Linked DNA regions of Canis lupus familiaris. The protein of the gene in region 1 purifies or fractionates together with the protein of each later gene. This does not show direct contact. Links are inferred from orthologs where the notes say so. Each region holds a gene or a part of one and is shown on either strand. Other genes may lie near its edges.

Region 1 (7,952 bases):
CATGGAAACCAGACAACACAAACCACCTAATAAAACTAACATACAAAATGCCTTGGCTGGAGCAACTTAAAAATATCAAATAATCATGACAAAAGAAAAACAAATATAAATACCGACTCGCTCTTTATTCAAACAGTGTGCTGTTTCGCTTATGATTCCACGTCCTAAATTACGTCAACGCCGTTTCTGAGCGCCATCTCGTCATCAACTGCTGCTATCGACTCCTGTATTTTTTAAAAAGTCTTTTTTTACATCATATAACAAAGTACAGTTCAATTTACTTAGGGATAAAGCCACTATAACTAAAAACCAGGGACTGCTCAAATTGCTACCAGACAACACCAAGAAAATCCCAACTACAATCACCAAGAAAGCACATGGACACGAGATCACTAAAAACTCAAAAATAAGCTGAGACCAACAAATCTAAACAACCTGATCCACAGTTTGGGCAACATTTACGACTGTTTTCCCACTGCAGATGACCAATCTTCCCAAATACAAATTTAGTTGACATCTTAACCAAGTTACTACGTCTTTACTTCCCTGATAATGAAGTTGCCTTTCAAACAAATCAGTCTGTAGAAAAGTCACACATGAATTTATTTCACCGATATAGTAACAAGATGCCACCTACTCACCTGTGAATATAGTTTTCACGATTGGTAGGTAGATCATAGTTTATAACCAATGACACTTGTTGCACATCAATCCCACGAGCCTGCAATACAATGGTATATGTTCAAATTCTAATTTAAAACTGTACACAGATACATAATGTAGGCCACAAAATAGTAGTGAACTATACGTTAAGTGATATAGCCCACTGTGGAGTGTGGTCTTTTCTTTAATCTCCCAAACAGCCCAATCTGGTAAAGGTTATTAAAAAACCTTCCCCCCAAAACAAACTTTTGGTAGATTAAAAAGATCAGCAAGAGACTTACCAACAAGTCAGTAGTGATCAAAACACGGCTTGACCCTGATCGGAATTCCCTCATGATAACATCTCTTTCCTTCTGGTCCATGTCACCATGCTGCAAATCAACAAACCTTAATTCAAGAATCACCAGTCAAATCAATTATTTAATTTTACTGACATGTATGAGACCAAGCGTCCCTGGCTGCTACAGGGGTATAGCAGACAGGTATAGTTAAGAAACAGCTTTATTTTGAGCAGGGGGAACGACAACACAGCACTTAACAGCTATATTGTAGTCTAAATCCTGCTTTAATGGGGGGTCGGGGAGCATAATTATCACTACTAGGACACCTCTTACCAGGGCAGAAACTGTGAAGTCCCTGGCATGCATTTTCTCAGTGAGCCAGTCCACCTTGCGCCTTGTATTGAGAAAAATAACAGCCTGAGTAATCGTCAGTGTCTCGTACAAGTCACAAAGAGTATCCAACTTCCATTCCTACAATTTTTCAAAGTTAACAGTCATTAAAATCTAGTCTCCAATTCATGTTCATTAGAATTCATTGTTAGGCCATTCTAAAACATATTGCACCAAATCTTAAGACAAAGGACACTGGACATTAAGAAAGAGGTCCACCCCAGTCTCTACAATCCAGTGCAGTTACTTTTCTTCTTGTGTGTACTCTGCTAGCATTATTACAAAAACTAAGGCAATCCTAGTTTCTGCAATTTTAGCACAGTGCTTATACAAGAAGGTTAAATAAAAAACCAAAATTTAATAGTAATTAGACAAATTACCTCTCTTTCAACATTAATATAAAACTGTTTGATTCCTTCAAGGGTCAATTCTTCCTTCTTCACCAGAATTCGAATTGGATCTCTCATGAATTTTTTGGTCACTTCCAACACATCAGTTGGCATTGTGGCAGAAAGCAACACAACCTTAAAAAGACAATGATTATCTTGTCACACAAATAGCCAACTTTCACAGTAAAACTATAACCAAGTGTCATAGTTATGTGCCAATAGCTTTAAGAAGGGAGCGGGACAAAGACTTCAGTTGTACTTTAACTTCCATTAAACCTAAGCCCCCAGCTACTATATGAAAGAGTAAAAACGAAAGCTCACCTGAATACTTGTATTTAATTTTTGGAAAATCTCATAGATTTGATCCTTAAACCCTCGGCTCAACATTTCATCTGCTTCATCCAAAACAAACATTTTGATCCATTTTGGAGCTGACCAAGAAAGCCAAACATACTATCAGCTCTAAATCCACAGGGATACTATTCAAACTTTTAATTTAAAATAAACTATACTCCAGAGACAGCAATACTTACAAAGATATCTTCTGTTTAACATATCAAATACTCTCCCTGGTGTACCAACAACAATGTGTGGTGCTTCAGCCTGCAGTTTTTGCATTTCATTCCGAACATTGGTTCCACCAATGCAGGCATGACAAGTTGCTCCCATATAGTCTCCAAGTGCCAGAATTACCTTTTGGATCTAAAAGCCAAAACCCTTTATTATTACACAGCAGAATTACAGGCTGTGACTAAACTTCCAAAGCATAACAGCAAATAACTGGTCTGCAAATAGCTTCTATGCATGCACAGCACTTAACTACTTCCAAGCTTAAAATGCAGACTGATCTGTTTCATGACAAAAGTCCCTTAACGTGTCTTCCTTGTGCCTTGTCAAACTTGGGATCCTGTTACCCCAGATACCACCTAAGTTAATTAAATGATTTTAGTTACATCATTTCCTACATTGCTTTTCATTGTGTAGGAAGGTGTAAATAATGGAACAAACTCTGTAAGTAAGCACATCTAGGGACAACTTGTTGGTAACTTTAGTCTTTCCCAAAGTACTGGAGCTTACGTCCTTTCGACCTTAATAAAACCTAGTTTTATTAGCAAGGTCTTACTTCAAAGCCAATATAGCAGTGAGCTTTGAAAACATAGCATGCAACAGATGCATCACAAACTACTGAGACAGTCAAATAACATGTCACTGCAGTTTTCATGTTGCACAACTGCATTCAAACTTAAAAATGGGAACAGATGTAGTCCACCCTGAAAACACTTTGGTTTCTCAAATCTGTTACACAACCCTGCAAACCATACCTGCACACCCAGTTCCTATTTTTAACTCAACAAAAACTCCCTGCATGCATGGACAATTAGGAGGGCTCCTATCGATAGGACCAATTTATACTAAGTTTTAAATTCTTCACAGTTGTGAAACCTGAAACCTATGCAACACGCAAGCAGTTTTTTTGAACTACACTATCAATACCTGTTGAGCCAGTTCTCTGGTGGGGGCCAATACTAGTGCTTGGGTCTCCTTGAACTCAATCTCCAACTGTTGCAGGATGGAAATAGCAAATGTGGCTGTCTTGCCAGTACCTGACTGAGCTTGAGCAATCACATCATACCCTAAAAAAAGTAGGATACATATTTACCGATCCCACATCAAACCGCCACTTCTAGTTCACACCATGTATTCCGTTTGGAACATTAATTATGCCCAAATAATCAAGTGATCAGCAATGAGTATTCTCTTCATTTCAGGTCAGTCCCGAAAGATGATTGCCATCATTTCACTTTAAGGAATACAAACAGGTGCTATTCCCCCAGAAGTTACTTTCCCTTTTATGGTCCAGGTCAGTTATGTAGAACAGTTAATGCATGTTTCAAAAAGGGCTAGCTAGCTCGTTTACCTTTAATACAAGGAATAATAGCTCTCTGTTGAATAGCTGAAGGCTTCTCAAAACCGTAAGCATAGATGCCCCGAAGAAGAGACTCCTTTAAATTCATATCGTCAAAGTTATCAACAATCTCATTCCAGTTGCTCTGTAAATCACACACAAAAGGACGCCTGAGTAAGTCGGATGAACACCTCACCTTGCCCACGTTCCAGAATCCAACACAGAGGTCTTACCTCGATGACACCATCGGGGTCCATTCCCTCTGGGCCTCCATGTTCTCTGCCGACAAGAACACCGCAGTTAGAGAACGTCCCTCTCCCCAGCCCTCTTACCTGCACGGCCCGGGGACGGCCTAGGCTAGGCCGGCCACTCTCCCCACACGTGCGCACCACCCGCGCCTGCAGTCCGGGGAGCCGGCGGCGCAGCGCCCGTCACGTTCCGTGCGCGCCCGCCCCAAGGCCGACCACAGGGGACGCCCAGGAAAGGCCCACGGCCGCCGGCCCTTCCCCCAGCCCGAGCGCCAGGCGCTCCCGTCTCGGCGCCAGCCGGTCTCGCGAGAGCTCCACGCGCTGAGCTCCGCCCCTCACACTGCGCAAGCCGCGGTGATTGACGCGGGCCGCGGCCCGGCGAGAGCGGTGCCAACGGTTCGCGGGGACCCGGTTGCCGGCGCGGCCCCATCCGCCCGCAAGGCCGCGGCCGGCGAGCGGGCGGGCGCCGCCGTCCCCTCCCCCCGCCCAAAGCCGAGCCTGCAACTCGCGCCTTCCGCCGCCGGTAGAGCTCCCCCCCCGCTACACGGTGTCGACTGCGGACTGCGCCACCGCTCAACTAAAACGTGCGCCGGCGGGCGGGGGACGCGCCCGGGATGCCAGGGCGTCTTCGGGAGGGGACGGGGGGAAAAAAAAGCCCCTCCAACCAGTCCGTTTTTGTACCCTCGTCTCCCCGCAGGCCAGGCCCTACCCATCATGGAAGCTTCTCGAAGGGCAGAGAGGCGCTGAGCCTCCAGGAAACGCCCGCGAACCCGCAGCCCCCAGGCTGCTCGCCGACCGCCAGCACCTCCGCCGGCGTCGCACGACCCGCCACGACCCGCCGCGACCCCCGGCCCCGCGGCAGCGCCGTACCTGTTATAGTCCGCGGAGCCACCAGACATGATCCGAAGAGCCACTCAGCGCCCGACTGGAAAGACAGCGGCGCCGCGCCACCCGTTTTTTATAGGCTCGCGGCCGGAACCCGTTTTCTCGCGGAGGAATTTTCTCGTCGCTCTCCGGTCGCCCACCAAATTGTGATCCTGGGGTCCTTACCTCGGAGAATAGCCCAAGCAAGTGGGTGGGAAAACCCAAATTTGGTTATTTCTCGATATTACGGGGCCGCGGGACATGCCGGGGCCTTGGGGGCGGCTGGGACTCTTTGCCTCGCGGCGGAAGAATATTGCAGCAAGCGGTGGCCAAACCGCGCTCCCGGCCCGCCCCGCTCCTACGGGGTTTCCGCGGCCCCGAAGCAGAGGCGGCCGGGGGAGCGAGCGGCCGGGAGGCGGAAGCCCGGGGCGGCTGCGTGCGCGGCGGCCGGCCTCTCCCCGCGGGCGGCGGGGCGAGCTTGCGGTCCGGCGCCCGGGGGTGGGGGCGGCGGCGGCGGCGGGGACGGGGACGGGGGCGCGGCCTCGCGCTGCACGGGGGCACCTGGGGCTGCCCCGCCGGCTCCCCCCGCGGCTTAATTCTCCGGGGAAGAGCCGCCTGGCCTTCGGCGGGGCGCTTAACACCCATCCAGAGCCTAAAAGTGTGAAAACTTCCTGCTCGGGAAAATGTCGGCCTCCGAGCAGGTCCCCGAAGCCCGGTGCCCCCGGCGCACCGCAGGGCACTGTGCCAAGCGAGGCAAAAGCGTGCAGTGCCCTTTGCAGGGGTCCCCGCGGCAGCCGACGCTGCTCTCAGGTTGCCCCCGGTCTCCTCTCGCTCGCTCGCTCTTAAAAAATAACGCTGACCGCCCTAACGCGTGGGGAATGAATGCCCGACAAAATCATCCTGAACTTTTGCAAATGGTTAACAGCTAAGGACTGGTTTTCCTTACAACGTAGGAATTTAAATGGACGCTTCCGGCAGATAGAGCTCCGTGCCCCCTTTGGGACTAGATAGATTTTTTTTTTTTTTTTGATTCGGGTCTATGTTGCTCTTTTCTTTTTTCCCCCAAAAGGCTTTGAACTTTAATTGCTTCATACCGAATGCATGTTGATTTAGTGGAAATTGAGAGCGATACAACCCCTGCTGCTTAAATAAACTGCACGATTCTTGAAGCCGCGGAGGTTTCCGACTGTAGCCCTGACCCAGGCCTGGGGTAGGCCCAATGCATTTAGTCATTTCATTTTAAAAATACTACCCACACTGCGAGATATCATCAGGGAAACATTTTTCTCGTTAATTCAGAAGGCCACCGAAGATCTGCTACCTGGAAAAACTGACATAATTTTCTACGTCTGCGTATGATGGTTGATTCTAAATACATTGCTTTCAAAAAAAAAAATTATTGTGCCAAGAACTCTGAGAAAAACTAATACCGAGATGACAAAGTAGGCGTAGGTCTCAGTTTAGGGATGCTGCTCCTAATTAATCCCCCTGTAATAATGTTCAAATTCAGATTTGAGATAATGCGGGATATGTTCTGCAAATGGAGGTCAAAGATCTTTATTGTCTCAATAAACCTACTAAAACTCTCCAGGGATCTGAGAAACCAAAGGAAATACTAAATCAGAAAAATGACCAACCATTTAGTCTCACTGGAGTCTTTAGGGTGAAACCAATCAATCACAAGGTGAAATCAGTCATCAATCAACACCTAAATTGTTGAGTTTTCTTTAGGTTTAGCACTACTGTTACATTTCCAGAATTTCTTAAAAGGAAATAAGGGCTAAATTCTGGTTTAGGTCACAGTTGAAGGGGTTTCCAGGTAAAAAATCTTTCTAATCAAAAATCCAGGGACGCCTGGCTGGCTCAGCAGTTGAGCCTTTGGCCCAGGGTGTGATCCTGGAGTCCCAGGATCTAGTCCCACATCGGCCCCCTGCAGGGAGCCTGCTTCTCTCTCTGCCTGTGTCTCTGCCTCTCTCTCTCTCTCTCTCTCTCTGTCTTTCATGAAAAAAATAAATAAAATCTTTAAAAAAATTCAGAGTCAAAATCCAGACTCACAGTGCCTGCAACCCTACAATGTATTTCTAATAAACGCTGTGTTTACCACATTTGCCTGTGCTTACTAAACACCATGAGGTAACAAATGAATTGTAGATCCAAAATACACTTATTAACAAAGTGTGCATGTCAGAGAGCATATTCTTCTATGGTTAAAATAAACTTTCTACTTTCCTGAGATCTAAAGTTAGAGCTTTCTCAAAGTCAACTGCAAGTGCTTCTTTGCTAACCTGGATCACGTGAGGCCATTTATACTCTTGGAAAGCCTCAGCTGACAATCTAAACCCAGCTAGCAATTGTAAGCCATTGTTCACCAGAGGAACCAAGGAATTAGTACGAATATGTCAGTATGCAACAAAACCTTAAAAACAATATGCTTTATGTTGAAAGCGATGGCTTCTTAAAGAAAGTACATGTATTCTTTTGAGGTTCTTACATTATTTCAAGTCTATCAGATCTTAAGTGATAGTTACGCGTTTAAAGCAGGAGGCTATTGATATGCATGTTGGTTAAGGTTTGCGTTTTGGGGATGCCTGGGTGACTCAGTGATTGAGCATCTGCCTTTGGTTCAGGTCTTGATCCTGGGGTCCTGGGATCCGGCTCCCTGCAGGGAGCCTGCTTCTCCCTCTGCCTACATCTCTGCTGCTTTTTGTGTCTCTCGTGAATAAATAAATAATTTTTAAAAGGTATGTGTTTTGGATCTTTAACTCATTACTTATTAATGTCATTTATTCTTTAGTAAACACAATATAATACATGCTTGTCCCTACATCTGTTATTTAAGTGTTTAAGAATTACCTTGAGGGGGATCTCTGGGTGGTTCAGCGGTTTAGCACCTGCCTTTGGCCCAGGGCACCGTCCTGGAGTCCCAGGATCGGCTCCTGGCATGGAGCCTGCTTCTGTCTCTGCCTCTCTCTCTTTCTCTTTCTCTCTATATCTATCCTGAATAAATAAAATCTTTAAAAAAAAAAAAAAAAAGAATTGCCTTGAGCTGGATAGGGACAGTAGTGCTACTTAGCTCTTTATCATTCCTTTCCGTTGCTGGAGGAAATAAGAAGTTAGCTTCTGCCTAAACGTAGGCGGTGTCCACTGAAGCAATTTGGAGGGCAGCCCTCACACATTCTTCACAATAACTTTGAAAACTATGTGCATAAAG
Region 2 (7,363 bases), on another chromosome or scaffold:
AAGCAAGACCAAGCAAAATATTTGAGGAGCTGTTTGGACATGATTTCTGATATGGTTTCTCAGAAAAAATCTTATGGTGACTGGCCTGATTATCATCATGCTATTAAAGTTGGAAATTAAAATTTGAAGGGTGCCTGGGTGGCTCAGTCAGTTAAGCATCCAATTCTTGATTTCGGCTGAGGTCATGATCTCAGGGTCGTGAGATCAAGCTCCATGTTAGGCTCTGTACTCAATAGGGAGTCTGCTTGAGATTCTCTCTCTCACCCTCTCCCTCAAACCATCCCCCTGCTTGCATGCTCTCTCTCTAAAACAAATAAATCTTCAAAGAATTAAAATCGGAGATGTACAAAGGTTATATTTCATTCTTATAAAACAGTACTGTCAGTTTGGATGAATACAATAGCCGATTAGTATAGGCACTGCTCCAGGGTTGCTTGCCTTATTTTTTTCCTTCCAACAAGAACACAAATTTACCTTTTAAATAATTTCACACGAAAAAGAAGGGGCCCCTCTTTCAATTTCACTTAAAATACAGAAGATAAAAACTATAATAAAACATTTTTCTAGATCTTAGTTGCTATGGCAAACTGGGAACGTTTTCTTGGCTATTAAAAATGCTGTTTTGGGGCCAACTGGGTGGCTTAGTCCATTAAGTGTCTGCCTTCAGCTCGGGTCATGGTCCCAAGGTCCTGGGATCAGGCCCTCCCATTCCCTCTGTCCGCTCATGCTCTCTCTCTCAAATAAATAAATAAAATGTTTTAAATAAATTTTTTGAAAAATGCTATTTTGGACAAACAGACATTATGGACCAGCTCATTGGTAATTTAAAGCACAAAGAGGCTATATTTGTTTTGTATGCTCAATAAACTTGGAAAAGGTGAAGGCATAAATTATATAAGCAAACGCTTTCATGTAGTAAATTTAAAATTACTGTATAACTACATATACTTAATACATCAAATTGTAACCTTGCACACTAAAGAAATGTTCTTAGCGCAATGCTTTAAGTACAGGTGTGCTGAGTGTGTTTGCAAAAGCAATAAAGAAAAGTATGACCTTCTAAAAGAGACAAATTAAAGGACTATTATGAATATATGTTTGCAGTCAACAGTACACTCTTCAGTGCCAAATTAGCCTTGCAAGCTGGCTGCATTACTTAGCACTCCGTTCACCATGCAGTTTCCGTCTCCTTCCTCTGTACAGACTTTCTAGTGGCCCCTATGATGGATTCATGCAATAAAAAGTGGCACTTAAAGCACAGTCCTATCCACCCCAGAGCACAGAAAACAACACTGGGTTCTCTGGTCCTCCTGGGTTTACCCTAGTTGTCTTATAACAAAGAAGTACAAAGTCTGTAGATTCTTTTGTATAAGCTTCTATCTGGGATAAGAGAAACTTGATAAACAACTGTGCTTCTATTCCAAAGTGGTTGCTTAAGAAAACATACCTTGTTTCTTCCAGTCATTCAACAAATGCATACTGACTACCTACTACTCTATTTAATTTCATTCTACAGGTCTGCTGCTAGCATACTCCCACCACAAAACAATCACCAAGATCAAGCTTACAGGGGATTTCATAGGAGCTACCTATAGATGATTCTGCTTATATTTCTGTTAAGAGCAATAAATGATAGAAAAGAAACATTAATTCCATAAAGGAAATAATCTATTTGGAACACATCAGTCAGCACTTTACCAATACAATAAATAATATCTAGCAACTAGATAGCTAAACCAGTCACAATGGAGGAAGTTATGTCACCCCCATCTAAGATACCAAAAGCCAGGGTCAGATTCGGAAAATTCTAATTTTAGTTGAAAAGCCACATTGGAAATTCACTAAGAGTCTGCATCTGAACAAGGGCAAGTGCTACCAGTAAAACAAAGAAGCATTTGCATTTTTCACAGTTTTCCTCAGCATTATTGAACATCCAGACATAATACCATAATCCTCTAAGGACAGTGTACAATAAAGCTAAGCACCCCCTCCCCCAAAGAGCCCTCCCTCATGGGCATTTACCGTATCAAAGCAAAAATAATACAACAAAGGCATCAGAGGGTTCTTATAACAGTATTATTAGTATTCGAACACTGTTTATCAGTTTGGCCTTTTTCCTGAATTCTCAGCAGGGCTGGACAAATACTACGTGTCGTAATACAGGTCCTAAGAACCTCAAAATGTACTTGGGTAATTTTTTTCTTGGTCCATGAGTTAAATTCTAAGTGAAAGAATATTTTCACAGAAAGTGTTGTTGTTGTTTTTTTTTTTTTAAAGGACTTTTCATTAGACAGGGCCACTTACCTGCTAGCAAGACTGAGCAATTCATGTTTATCTGCTACAGCTGACTTCTTCTCAAGCTCCCACATTAGGACGTTGATCAGATGTGAGTTTTTAATTACAATCGGCACTTCTTCAAACATGTGCTCAAAGGTGATATTTCCCTTTTTCAATCTGTGAAGCGTGTTAAAAATACTTTAGTCTGGTGGTCAGAAGTAAGTGTTAAATTGACTATTTCATACATCTTTCCCTAATTACAGGCCCTCTCCAGGATCTCTGTTTCATTAGCACTCTTTTAAAAAGAGAGAAACTAGTTTTACAGAGTCAAGCTGAAGCTGAATGATATGAATAACATTGAAAACAATCCAAGTTTGAGCTATAAAGCCCCAAAAACAAGATTCTTGGCAGAAGAAACTAGTCTTTCTTTATAATCAGGTATCTTCAAAATTTCATTGATACTAAAATGTAAATGTCATGGGAAATTATGTTATATAACTTCTATCTAAAACATTTAAATAAATAGCTGGAAAAGAGAAATACTGCAGTTCTTGGAAAGTTCCATTTTAAAAGTCTACCAAACTAAAGAAATTAACAACTAGCAGAACACTCACAGTATATCTTATATACAATAGTTCAGAATACAGCAAGAAAATGGTTTCTCATAAGTTAGTTTTAACTACCATACCCAGGAGTTGTTCATGAGTTAGCTTTTAAAATTTTTTGCAACCTAATTTCTTAAAAAGCTATTGGAAAACTAGCAAAAACCTGTCCCAAAGCTGCTAACTTTAATAAGAAACCAAAATTCCCTTAATTAACAGAAAATGAAAGAATTCTAATTTTCAAAAAATTTTAACAAATATTCCAATGCCATTATGAAAAATCATAAAACAGCTTTACCAATTAATTCTGTGCATATCTAGCACCCATAAAATTTCCAAAATGCCACATTCCTTACTGATACCTTAAAATGTTTATGTCTTTCCCATCCCCACCTTCATGAAATAGGACCCAGAACATAAGACATATAGCTCACAATTATCCTGACACAGAGCTATGGCAGCCACTGGTCACTCATCCCATTCTCTCTCTTCAAATCCAGTAGCTATTTAATTCCCCCTCCAACTGAATTCATACACAGTGTGAACAACAGATGAGACATTCCATAAAGAACAGTTTAAACATGGAAAGGGAGAAATCAAGAGGCACTTGGCCATGCAAAACTCTTCTACAGTCCACATGGCAAAAGCATTGCCACACCACCACCACCAAGGATTCAATAAATGTGGCAAACTACAATCTTAAGAGGAAAACAGCCAATGCTTTACCATATGCCTCACAGGCCCCCAAACACTTACGCTTCAGGAGAAAAATCCTTCTCTTTACAAACTTCCATCAGTTTAGGAGTCAGTCTGTATGCTTTCAGCGAGAGGGACCCTTGGGCAGTTTTTATGGGATCTCAAATAAGGAAAAGAGAAAGAAATTACTAACACTTTTGTTACTGCCATTGCTTTGCTTGAATGACACTGGTTCTAGGCACACTATTACTAATCGTACAATCTTTGCAAAATGAAGATCAAAATAAATGATCAGAACTCAGTCTGAAGCAGATTCAAATCATATAGCAAATAGTTAAGTGAAAAAACATAGGAACCCTATCATCCTACTTGTAATAGGTAGAGTAACTTCCTCCCTAAGGTAAAAACAGAAGATTCAAAATGCAGTTATTTTTAAACCTATTCGTCTGCTTGATCCAGAAATCTTGGTGAAAATTAAACATCTCCTATGTTCTGTCCAGCTTATATTCATCTTGTATAATTAGAAGAAAAATATTAATGAATATTAAATATGAAAATACACCATGAAGTTGTGTAATTCAGTGGACTAATTTAAATGAATGGCCCTGTGAACAAAAGTTTATCCATCCTAGTAATCATTGTCCAATTTTTTTAGTTAAAAGAGATTCTAAAAATGACTAAAAAGTGCTATCACAAAAGTGTCTTTTTAGTTTCAGAGAAACTTATTTGGTCAAAACTAGCTGCTTACACACTCCATGAGTAAGGGAGCTTAGCACTTGCTGCATGATAACGGCTCCGGCATGCCAATATTCGCCTAAAACCTGTGTTAACATTCATGTTGTCTGAAACTTAACACAGTGAAACTTTTAGCAATAGGTGATAAAATGAAAACCAAAATAGATTGAAACAAGTGGAAAATTCATCAAGGTCTGATGATGCAATGTTTCCAGCCAATATAAGTACACTTTAACAACTTGTTCTTTACTGTAATCCAATTGTTAACATACTGAAACAATTTTGGGGCAGCTCATAAGATTGATCGTATTCATTAGTATTTTTTCTGACAGATACTCAGGACGTTACATTTACTTCTCAGCTGGAAACTATATGCAAGTCTGCCAGATATGGCAAACTGTGAGTGTTTGGGGAGGGGGAAGGCTATAAAGCTGTTAAATTGCCTACAGTTCTGATACAGCACAGAACATCTGGTCTGGAGAGCTTGAGGAAACACCATTAAATAGGCCGAAAAGAAAAAAATCTTTGTGCTAAGAAACAGTCCAGGTTTTGTACGCTGCTGTCAGAGGTATAAAAAAACTTGGCACACTGTGTTATGATTGGTCAGTCACGTACAGAGCCAGACACTCTAGCAATTGGGGTTTGTTAGACATCTGGTCTAGTTCCACCAGCCCCTTCAAATGAGGGAGGGGAGATGGAGGAATAAAAATGAAGCAGCTACTCCAGCATTCCAAAATGTACACATCAGGGCTCTGATAGCAAGAAAAATAAACAGAAAGAAGGAAACCCTGTCTAGACTTAGCTGCTGCTGAGGCTGCTGCAGAAACAGGGTTGGTATTTACTTGAGAAGGCCTGCCAGGCTGCTCTTAGAGGCAAAAAGACAGAAAGCAAAAATAGTAGTAATAACATTAAGGGAAGAAAAGAATAATAAAGGAAACTCCTACTAACCGTAAATGAGAACGACAGATTCTTCAATGGCATGCTGGTAACTGAACTGAGAATCCAGGAGTGCTCGGGTGACGAACGAGCCATAGTACGTGGACTGATACCAGCCCACGTGGAGGTGATCAATGTTGACATGGCGAAGGCTGCGCATCATTTCCATCTGATACTGGACTAGATGACAGGGACAGAGGAGTAAAAGAAAAACTAATGATGCTACAAATAGTAAAAACAAGATTTTTTTGAAATGAATTTTTACACAACCATTTATTAGCTAAAGGGCACAGGTTTCCAGGTTTAAAATTCAATCAGTTCACATATAACAAAAACGAATTTAAGCTTTCAAATCATTTCAAATCACTGAAGCTTTCCTTTTTTCAATAATGAAACGACCTACTGTAGAAAACTTACTAAGAACACATTAATGCCTTGTTCTAAACAAGAAATTATTTATTAAATGTAGTTTTCACTCATTTCTTAAAACTCTTAAAAATAGTAATAAATCTTTAAGAAAAAGATTTGTGTATTTGCTAAACTGGTTGGTTTTTTAAGATATTCATTTGAATTAGTAAAGTGAGAATACTTATCAAAGTCTCTTTCAACTCAGCTTTTAGAACTGAGAGGTTAAAATCATCAAGAGAATGAATAGGGAAACAATTAACTACCATATTATTTAAATATGAACAGAATACAAGCTGTAGCTGATTTAAAATATAAGAATTCATTTTTGCCTTCATCTGGTGCCCCCTGCTGCATATGCTAAATTTTAAAAATAATTCTTTTTTTATTTGTATGTTCTTCTGTGTTAAGTAACAGATATTAATTTTTCATCAGTTATATGTTAATCACCATGTATAGAATGAAAAGGCTGAAAGGCTACACTTTCATCAAATTAATGACTATAATGTATAACATTAACTTAAAGCAATATTTCTAGAATAGGTGCGAACTGAGACCATAACAAGTAAAAGATTTTAAGAAGCAATAAAGCCCAATAATGAGTAGCAAGTATGTAATACAGGAGAAAATTTTATAGTCAACATAATATCCAAGCTATTTCTATTATAATGAATGTACAGCTATGTGGAATAAATATATTTGCTTAACTCGGAATCTTACCATTTCATTTTTAAAACTCTCGATCAGGTTTTAGCAAAAGTAAAATGATATGCCTGTGAATTCCTTGGTTATAGCACTACGGTTTTATAAAACAAACAAGATTCAGGATCATGAAGTAAAAAAGAACCTCCCTCAGATGTCACAATCTTATTTTTCAACATTTGTTACTAGGCAAAGAAATTATAAATCTGCTATTCCAAGGAAGGTTATAATTCTCATGATAAAATATGGCAGCCAACTTTTTAACTATTCAAGAATTGAGTTTTTTAGTTTTTCTTTTATATACAAATATGATGGCCTCAAGAAGAAGTGATATAAAATTAATATGATAATCGTATATCAACCACCTTTTACTTAAATTTTTGTCTCTCCAGCACCTAACAGACCTCCTTCCCTTTAACAGATTCATACACACCAACCACAAAAATATGATATAGAACCATTGCTATGGTCTCTTTCTGCTTTAAAATTCCCTCTTTTAAAGTAAAATCACTCTTTTGTCTAATGGAATTTAATCAAATTTAATGCACACAAAGTTCCAATATCACAAGTATAACAGGAGTCAGACTAAATTTACTATTCATTTTAAAGGAGTAGGGAAGAGATGGGGAGAGATTACCAAGCAATTGATAGTACAAATGTGGTTGTGTAGGATGATTTTTTAAAATCAGTATTTTCAAAATATCTGCCAATATACAATTTAGGTGTGTTATAAGCAGAAGTTAGATTCAGTTTACAACAGTAGGAAAAAAAGAAAAGACTTGGAATCTTGGGATCTAGGTTCTCATACTAGATCTTAGATTCTTTTTCTATGGGGAATCTTGCTGTCCAGTTATTGCTCCTTATCCGATGTTCAGCCTTCCCATCTCCAGAAAGATTTGAGAGCACATCACAGTCAAAATGTTTTGACTTCACAGTGTTCACTGAATATGCTAATTATAAGTAGTAATTTTACTACAAACTAAGCAGAGCCTCCAGCATCCATTGATACT

The links.
Region 2: the proteins of EIF4A2 (region 1) and EIF3H purify together in Homo sapiens (affinity purification with mass spectrometry; 3 studies listed by BioGRID and IntAct, with this or other methods). This does not show direct contact. The link is inferred for Canis lupus familiaris from reciprocal best matches to the Homo sapiens genes EIF4A2 and EIF3H.

Annotation. Positions count from the first base shown.
Region 1 is NC_049255.1:19,522,246-19,530,197, reverse strand, and holds the start of EIF4A2 (eukaryotic initiation factor 4A-II), read right to left. Parts: upstream 4,864-7,952; 5' UTR 4,777-4,863; coding exon 4,748-4,776; intron 3,909-4,747; coding exon 3,863-3,908; intron 3,775-3,862; coding exon 3,642-3,774; intron 3,528-3,641; exon of another isoform or gene 3,459-3,527; intron 3,358-3,458; coding exon 3,218-3,357; intron 2,426-3,217; coding exon 2,257-2,425; intron 2,155-2,256; coding exon 2,045-2,154; intron 1,859-2,044; coding exon 1,715-1,858; intron 1,674-1,714; exon of another isoform or gene 1,498-1,673; intron 1,416-1,497; coding exon 1,278-1,415; intron 1,230-1,277; exon of another isoform or gene 1,098-1,229; intron 1,035-1,097; coding exon 945-1,034; intron 919-944; exon of another isoform or gene 777-918; intron 722-776; coding exon 642-721; intron 225-641; exon of another isoform or gene 114-224; intron 1-113. UniProt on the Homo sapiens protein: ATP-dependent RNA helicase which is a subunit of the eIF4F complex involved in cap recognition and is required for mRNA binding to ribosome.
Region 2 is NC_049234.1:16,488,988-16,496,350, forward strand, and holds part of EIF3H (eukaryotic translation initiation factor 3 subunit H), read right to left. Parts: intron 5,427-7,363; coding exon 5,259-5,426; intron 3,736-5,258; coding exon 3,636-3,735; intron 2,455-3,635; coding exon 2,305-2,454; intron 1-2,304.